Linked DNA regions of Nothobranchius furzeri. The protein of the gene in region 2 purifies or fractionates together with the protein of the main gene of each other region. This does not show direct contact. Links are inferred from orthologs where the notes say so. Each region holds a gene or a part of one and is shown on either strand. Other genes may lie near its edges.

What was found. Proteins that work in one complex are often made in the same cells at the same time.
Region 1: the proteins of rpa1 (region 2) and hltf purify together in Homo sapiens (affinity purification with mass spectrometry, with the first as the bait; 4 studies listed by BioGRID). This does not show direct contact. The link is inferred for Nothobranchius furzeri from reciprocal best matches to the Homo sapiens genes RPA1 and HLTF.

Annotation. Positions count from the first base shown.
Region 1 is NC_091758.1:23,578,370-23,582,333, reverse strand, and holds part of hltf (helicase-like transcription factor), read left to right. Parts: intron 1-2,819; coding exon 2,820-2,986; intron 2,987-3,066; coding exon 3,067-3,203; intron 3,204-3,277; coding exon 3,278-3,354; intron 3,355-3,465; coding exon 3,466-3,537; intron 3,538-3,627; coding exon 3,628-3,819; intron 3,820-3,891; coding exon 3,892-3,964. UniProt on the Homo sapiens protein: Has both helicase and E3 ubiquitin ligase activities. Possesses intrinsic ATP-dependent nucleosome-remodeling activity; This activity may be required for transcriptional activation or repression of specific target promoters.
Region 2 is NC_091753.1:47,677,402-47,681,365, forward strand, and holds part of rpa1 (replication protein A 70 kDa DNA-binding subunit), read left to right. Parts: intron 1-814; coding exon 815-941; intron 942-2,900; coding exon 2,901-3,077; intron 3,078-3,964. UniProt on the Homo sapiens protein: As part of the heterotrimeric replication protein A complex (RPA/RP-A), binds and stabilizes single-stranded DNA intermediates that form during DNA replication or upon DNA stress.

The DNA of each region.
Region 1 (3,964 bases), on a different chromosome or scaffold from region 2:
GTGTGAGGAGATGAAGGTGTGGAGAACTGTCTCAAGTTCAGAGCGGGACAGAATGGGACTCAGCTTAGCAATGTTCCTGAGATGGAAGAAGGAAGAGCGAACAAGAGAACTGACATAAGGATCCAGGGTGAGAGCTGGGTCAAAGGTCACGGCAAGATTCCTGACAGAAGGTTTGGTGTGGGAAGCAAGCTGACCAAGAGAGTCTCTGACTTTGGGAACCAGCTTGTCTGGGGCACAGATGAGGATCTCAGTCGTATCTTCATTCAGCTGAAGAAAGCTCCCAGCCATCCAGGTTTTGATAGAGTCTAAGCAGGTGTGTAACAGCTGCAGCTGAGATGTCTCATGGGGCTTAAAGGAGATGTACAGTTGGATGTCATCTGCATAAGGATGGTAGGAGATTACTTTGAAGGAGCTCAGGATGTGCTGAAGAGGAAGCAGATAGAGGAGGAAGAGCAGAGGCCCCAGCACATAACCTTGTGGGACACCATGGGTAAGAGAGGTGGTGGAGGACCTAAAGTTGGAGACGGCCACAGAAAAGGAACGCTCAGAAAGATAAGAGGAGAACCACTCCAGAGCAGTTCCTGATAGGCCTACCTAGTCTCTCAGCCTCTCCAGTAGCAGGTGATAGTCAACAGTGTCAAAGGCTGCAGTCAGGTCCAGCAGGACCAGAACAGAACAGTCCCCTGCATCACTGTGAGTCAGAAGGTCATTCGAGACCCTAAGAAGAGCTTTTTCAGTAGAATGAGCTCTACAAAAACCTGACTGGAAGCTATCATAGGTGTTATGTTCATCAAGAGCAGCTGTGAGTTGTTTAGCCACAACCTTTTCCAAGATCTTGGAGATGAACAGAAGTTTAGGTGGTGGATGTGAACAGGGCAGTAGAAGATAATGATGTCATTAGCTAGTCTGTTGTTGCTTTGTGTTTGTAGTTGGTGATCTCTCTGGGAGACCCCAGAGTCGTTAGCTGTGAATGGTAAATGATAATGATAATTGACCACTTGAATAGCGCCTCTCAGAGTAAGGACTCCAAAGCGCTTTACACTACAGTGTATCATTCATTCATTCATTCATTCATTCACACACACACACACACATTCTCACACTGATGGTGATGAGCTACGATGTAGCCACAGCTGCCCTTGGGCCCACTGACAGAGGCGATGGTTAGTGGTTTAGCCTGACTCTACAAGTCATCATCCCCCCACTCTTGAACGTCTCCTCAGTCTGTTGAGCTGCTTGAACTCTGATGTGAACCTGAGGCCTTGTCGTCAAATGTTCGCAGAAATAATACTATATTCCTTCCTACGAACGAAATTTAGGGTGGTGGTGCGAACGAGCAAAATCCTGATTTATGAGACATGCAGTGACCATTCGTGTGCATGTTCCTCCATAATCAGCTGTTAATAAATCCCACCTGTGATATCCAGATGCTCGTGTCCTTTCACTGTCATTTACATACAGAAACACACTCAATTCACCATATTTGGTCACACTACGTCCTCAGCATGTGAGGGGAATCCCTGCATTCCTCCTGGAAAAAAAGCTTGACTGACAGCGAGATCGAGGCACCGGCTGCTGAAGTGCGAGAGAACCAAACAGGTGGCAGAGGTTGTAAACGCAGAGGAGAGGTCTGTCAGGAATAAATGAAAATGGTTCCACATCAATTGAATATGATAAATCATAGCGTAACTAATTGTCATTTACATTTAAGAAGTCATTCTGTTTGTAGTTAATTTTATTTGGAAATGTCTGACACTGCAGCCTCTTCTGAGCTGTCTGTCATTCAGTTTGGTTATCTTGGCAACAAGTGCACGATTGGGGAGCAGAGAAGGTTCTGGAGGGTTTTCGTAGTTGTAAAATAGAGTATGGGCTGGAATCGGATTTGCGCGGTTTGTCTGTCGCTCCACACAGGGTCCCAAATTAAAAGCATAGATCATAGATCAGTGCGCTCATGGAGGATGTGTTCCCTCCAGAGTGGACGTTCTGCCAAATCCTCTGATAACACAAGATCAGCCCTTTTACAATGTCGGGTTTCCGTCGGTCACAGATGTCTTTTAAATGTTTTGGCATCAGTTATGTGACAATGCTCTTTTTCCACTGAAATAATTACTGCTTAAAATAGTTTGTGGATGAGGAACACGTGTGGACGGTTTCCCAGTTCTAGCACTAGATGCTGTTTGTACACACGGTCTGAGATTTTGTTCTATGTAGAAACATTTTCACGCACACGTACAAAATGATGAATACCACACAATGCGTAAATTAGTTGCTACGCATGACATGTGTACAGATCGGTGCGTAAGTACGGTTGATAAGTGAGGACTCAGGATGCAGCAGTCTTCACTGTCGGCTTGCTGAGCTCCAGCTTCTGCCTGTGTGAGAGGATCAGCTGGATCATCAGGTGGTCTGAGGAGATTCTTAAATAAGAATCCAAGATGACACATGTCTTCTCCTTTGGCAGACCTCCTAGATGTAGTTCACAAGTGCTGCAAATTCCTCAAACTCACTGTCCCTGTGTTGCATCGTGTTGCATCGTGATCTGGTTTCATCATGTTTGCTTCCCCTGAAGTCTGAGCTGCAGCCAGGTGTCTCTTGAAAGACTGGAGCTGTCAGTTCCATGAAAGTCCTTTTGGTGTTTTGATCTCAACCAAATAAACAGCTGAACTTCTGTCCTGATGAATTTTCTCTATTGAAACAATGAAAAGTGGGACATTTTTAGTGGTTATTAGTTATAGTTTAGTGACTTTGTGATAACATCTCGAGACATTTGGTAAAATGTTCAGAGACCCTCATTAACCGATCTGCTCTGCTCTGGGCAGGTGAACCGAGGAGAGATGGTGGGTTTAGTGCGGGAGCCTCAGAATCCGTATGACAGTAACGCGGTGAAGGTCACAAACATCTATGGAAACCAGGTTGGACACATCAAAAAGGAGCTGGCTGCAGCTATGGCCTATATGATGGACAGAAGCTTGGCTAAAGTCGAAGGGTGAGCTCTGATTACTTCAGAATAAGATTTCTTAAAGGATCCCACATGAAAACCAGTAACTATGAAACACTCATTGCTAGGGTGGTGCACACAGGTGTGAACAACCCCTTCTCTATGCCAGTTATGCTGTCATTCTGGGGGAAGGAAGAGGACAGGAACACTGTAATGAAGCACATGGCGAGTCGAGGGTATAAACTTAATCCAGGCTCGCCAACCGGTGAGCTCCCATTTTCTTTCATTGCATCTTTTTAATCAACACCTTTATTATCACTCACTTTTGTTTGTTTTCAGGTGGAAGCCTGGCTTTGTATGGCACCTCGGCCTCCTCATACAAGAAGGGTGTGACCGTCCCACTGACAGCAGAGGAGGTCATTAAATCTGAGCCAGTTTCTTCCAGAGATACAGATAATATTGTTTATACTTGAATTAATTTGATTCTGAAAATTCTTAAACATTTTCCATTTGTTTTTATCCTCCAGCTTAAGAACGCGTTTGATAACTTGTTTGACGGTTTGATGGAGAGTAAAGATGGAGAGAAAGAAGCAGTTGAGGTAAATATGATCTTATTTGATGAATTCTCTTAATTATACTACACCTTTTTGTTTTTTTTTACAAAAATTCTTCTTCTTTTTTCCCTTCAGTCTGTGGCCACCGCCCTCCTGCCTCATCAGAAACAAGCTCTGTCCTGGATGTGCGCTCGGGAAAACAAAGACGCGCTGCCGCCGTGCTGGGAGAAGAGAGGCGAGCTGTACTACAACAGCCTCACCTGCTTCTCTGCTAAAGAACCACCGGGGAGGGTTCGGGGGGGCATTCTGGCCGACGATATGGGACTGGTGCGTTACACACGATACACAACTTTTATTTATTAGGAATTTTTTTTATTCATAAGAAAACGTGCTTTTCAGGGTAAAACGTTGACAACAATCGCTTTGATCCTCACCAACTTCCACAAGGGAAAACCGCTGCCTGTGGAGAAAT
Region 2 (3,964 bases):
TGTTTGAATGGGTGAATGACTGATTGTGTTGTAAAGCACCTTGGGGGGTTCCAAGACTCTCAAAGGTGCTATATCAAATACAGGCCATTTACCATTTTCATGTGACTCCAGGTGGTACGGCTTCTTAAAGGGACGTGAACGTCACCAACTGCCACACATCTTTTAATTTTTTTAATAATTGAATTTATTGTCATTAGAAGAAATTATATCGGTTAGTTAGAATTTTAGATAACGATGCATTTTCTATTAATCACCCAGCCCTAACTGCCCCCTGTCGCCAGGGAAAATGCACACTGTCACTTTAACATGCCGACTCATTGTTAAACCAATCAAATGTGAGTCCAGATTTCAGTTTACAAATTTTCATCATACGCCCGTCTAACTTCCTGAAGTGGATCTGGCAACCTTTGTTCCTCGTGTTGAGGTGTTTGTGCGTCAGTTTTGTTCACGGTAAGGTGAAGAAGCTGCACAAAGTGAACAAACCTCCTTTTAGCGTTGGCGCTTGAGGTTCTTTCACACATTTAAAACTTGACTTGTTACTTCACCCACTATGATTGCTTTGAAATGTCAAGTTGAACAGAACTGCCCAAGAACTGAAGCAGAAAGTCTTTTTATCTGATCTTGTTTTCTTTTATGCTCTGCTAATGAAATCCCTCTGCTTAGTTAAACCAGCAAAAGGATAAACTAGTTTCCTAACATTCCAGGTATCAACCAGTGCAACGCCTAACCGGTTACTTATCAGCCTGAACCGTGTAATTGTTCTACTTAAACTGAGCTCCTGTCAGCAGTCACCGACTGACTTGGATTTCTGCAGGTTTGACAAAGAAGGCCACGCCATGGATGGACAGTCTCTGACGGAGACGAAGGGCAGCGGAGGAGGAAGCACCAACTGGAAGACTTTGTCCGACGTGAAGAACGAGCATCTGGGACACGGAGAAAAGGTAGACGTGTGTCTCCTCGCCATGAAATATCAACATCATAGTGACTCCAGACATGATGCTATTCAAGCACGACTGAAGAGTTTTAAGAACAAACTGAAAGATTCTTAATGAATCGAGCGACTCGAGCAGGATCTGTTCTGACCGTGTGAGGGTCGTACGGGTGTTTAACGCTGCAGCTTTGGTTTTTTCTTCACTTCAGAAGAAAGGTTTTTAGCTCCGTGTCGGCGTGATGAATCTTTATAATCGATACCATATAATTTTTACTGCACCGCCTGGTAGATGTGCTTAAAAATCTGATTTGAGTAACATTTATCTCCCTCCGCTCATTAATCCCTCTGCATCGTTGGTGTCCTCGCACTGCGGTGGATGTTCACGCTGAAAGTCACATTTATCTCTGCTATTGATTATGAAGATTACATTGGGTCCATTCCTGCTTTCTGCAATGAAACAAGTAAAGCAATACATTTCCCTTCATTTCCCTTTTAAAAAGATGTTCTTACAGGTTTGTAGAAAGTTTCTTGTTCAAATGTGACCTTTGCAAAGTTTCTAGTAATTAACCATGGACTTCATATTAATGTCCTCATGACATAGAAAATATTAGAAATAAAGTGCATGAATTTAAGAAAAGAAAAACACAAAATATTTGTTTTGATGAACAAATTTACACACACACACACACACACACACACACAGTATTTGACTTATTGAATTTACGTGAGCTTTTTTTGTAATCTATTACTTCTCAAGTTTTTCTTCATCCATCCAAAAGCAACTTTTTACTTTAAGGTCTGGCCATGATGCCAACAAAAAGTTTTGGGGCTTTTTATTGATGGTCATCAAACCGCCAGCCTTTATTTGAGCTACCGGCACAACAAAGCAGGCAGGCTGCTTACCCGGACCACTAAAGTAGTTTAGTGCCGTTTCTGGTTAGCAGAGGGCTGCTGAGTGCTGTCCAGTGGGAATCTGCTCACGTTTCTGGCTGAAGAACCACTAAAACCATTTTGAAAGCAATAGCTTAAAGTGTCAAACTCTTCAGTGTTGCTTACATAAAATTTGGACGGATCAACAATTGTTGGGGGTTACACAAAGACCTTCGTTCTTTCTCAGTGTGATGTGATGAGACCTGATTGTGGCAAAGGGGCTCTCCTCAAATGCCTCACACAAATGGTGTGAGCAGGAGTAGAAGAGAGGGTCAGCCTTCTTAAGACCCCGCCAGCTAGATCTGTCTTTGTGTGTCCACGACGCCGTGTCCTTTTCTGAGAGTAAGCAGGAACCTTCTCCTGACACCACTTGTAAGAGTCGGTCACGACATGAAGAACAGAGTTTTCCTCTCCTTCCTCCTCTCACCGGTCAGCGTCGCACTAATTAGACATTTACTGAAAAGGCAGTGACGGGTGACATCTGGATGGGCGTTTTTGTCGTGTGCGCTCAAGTTATTTATCTAATCACCGCAGGCGTTTTACGACGGGAGGCACTAAGGTGGCGTGCCCGCGGTGTAAGCTGGAACAAGTGCCTTTTATCTTTTATCAAAGTGTGCACTGGCCCAGATTCCCTTCTGTTGGAGGATTTCTCCAGGGATTTGCAAAACGTAGGACAAAGTCATGCAGATGTCAGGGTGCAACATGGATTTGTTGTGATGCGACGGGTTTGCTTACATCTTTCTATTAAAGTGCGTTAAAACCTTTCTGTAGCCGACGGTTTCAGTCCTGTTCACGCTGCCTGCTTTGCTGTTGCTTATTCCTGGTTGATGATCTAGAATGCGAAGCTCGCGTCCTGCCCGCTAGTCGGCAGACTCTTGTTGGTAGTTTAACCGTAATCGGAACGTTTTATTTATTTATTTTCTTTCTGAATTCTCCTTTTCTTAATATAATGTTGGTGCAGTTTTGTCGACATGTTCCCCACACAACATAAAGGTCATGAAGACCGTCTTGAACATCTGCTGATGTTGTTTTCATCCAGGCCGACTACTACACCTGCATAGCCACCGTGGTGTTTCTGCGGAAGGAGAACTGCCTTTATCAGGCCTGCCCGACCCAAGACTGCAACAAAAAAGTGGTCGACCAGCACAACGGCATGTTCCGCTGTGAGAAGTGCGATAAAGACTTCCCCAACTTCAAGTACCGCCTCATCCTGTCTGTAAGTGACTTAGCAGTCTTTTCCCCGCGTTCTCCATGTGCTTTAGGGAGGCTGTGTTGTCTCCCCCAGGACTTTGTCCTTCAAGCTGAGACCCCCCAATATGGTGCTCTTTGTTTTAAAACCAGATTGAAATGTGGATTTCATGTCTGACACTTTGTAAATAAGGACAAACTTAAAGAGCAAGTCACCCCAACCAGATTCTTAATCAACTCTCACTTCCTGTTTGAAAAATGCAACAAATGCTGTTGCCTAGCAGACAGAGAGGGCGGAGCCGCTAACAAATACACACACACACAGGCTCACAACGGCATTGTGACATCAAAATGTATCAGTTTCCATCATAGCATACCTCTTAGCCAACAGCGGTGGCAGATTTAAATTCCAATGCAGTGCAGAGTTTTTACCCGACGACGGTGCAACACTGACAGTTTTAGGCAGAATATTTAAATTTTAACTAAAATGCACTGAAGTACCAAATTATTGACCACACATGTCTGCAGCACAATTAGACACACATTTATATAGTTTATCAGCAAAAAAAAAAGTTGATTTGGGGGTGACTTGCTCTTTAAGATTGCTTTAAGGCATTGTTGGGTTAAAGAGCGCAGAAGAACACAAAGCCGTTTCCAGAAACCTCCACTCAAATAACCTTTTATTAACAACAATCTCAGTAGCAAAACCATAAAAGCCAGTAGCTTTTGTTTAGTGCCTCTCACCATGTGACATATTGTTCCTTACAAGCTGAAAAATAAGCTGTGAAGCTGCTTCCACTGTGTGTGTGCGTGTGTGTGTGTGCGTGTGTGTGTGTGTGTGTGTGTGTGTGTGTGTGTGTGTGTGTGTGTGTGTGTGTGTGTGTGTGTGTGTGTGTGTGGGGCAACCGTGCTTCA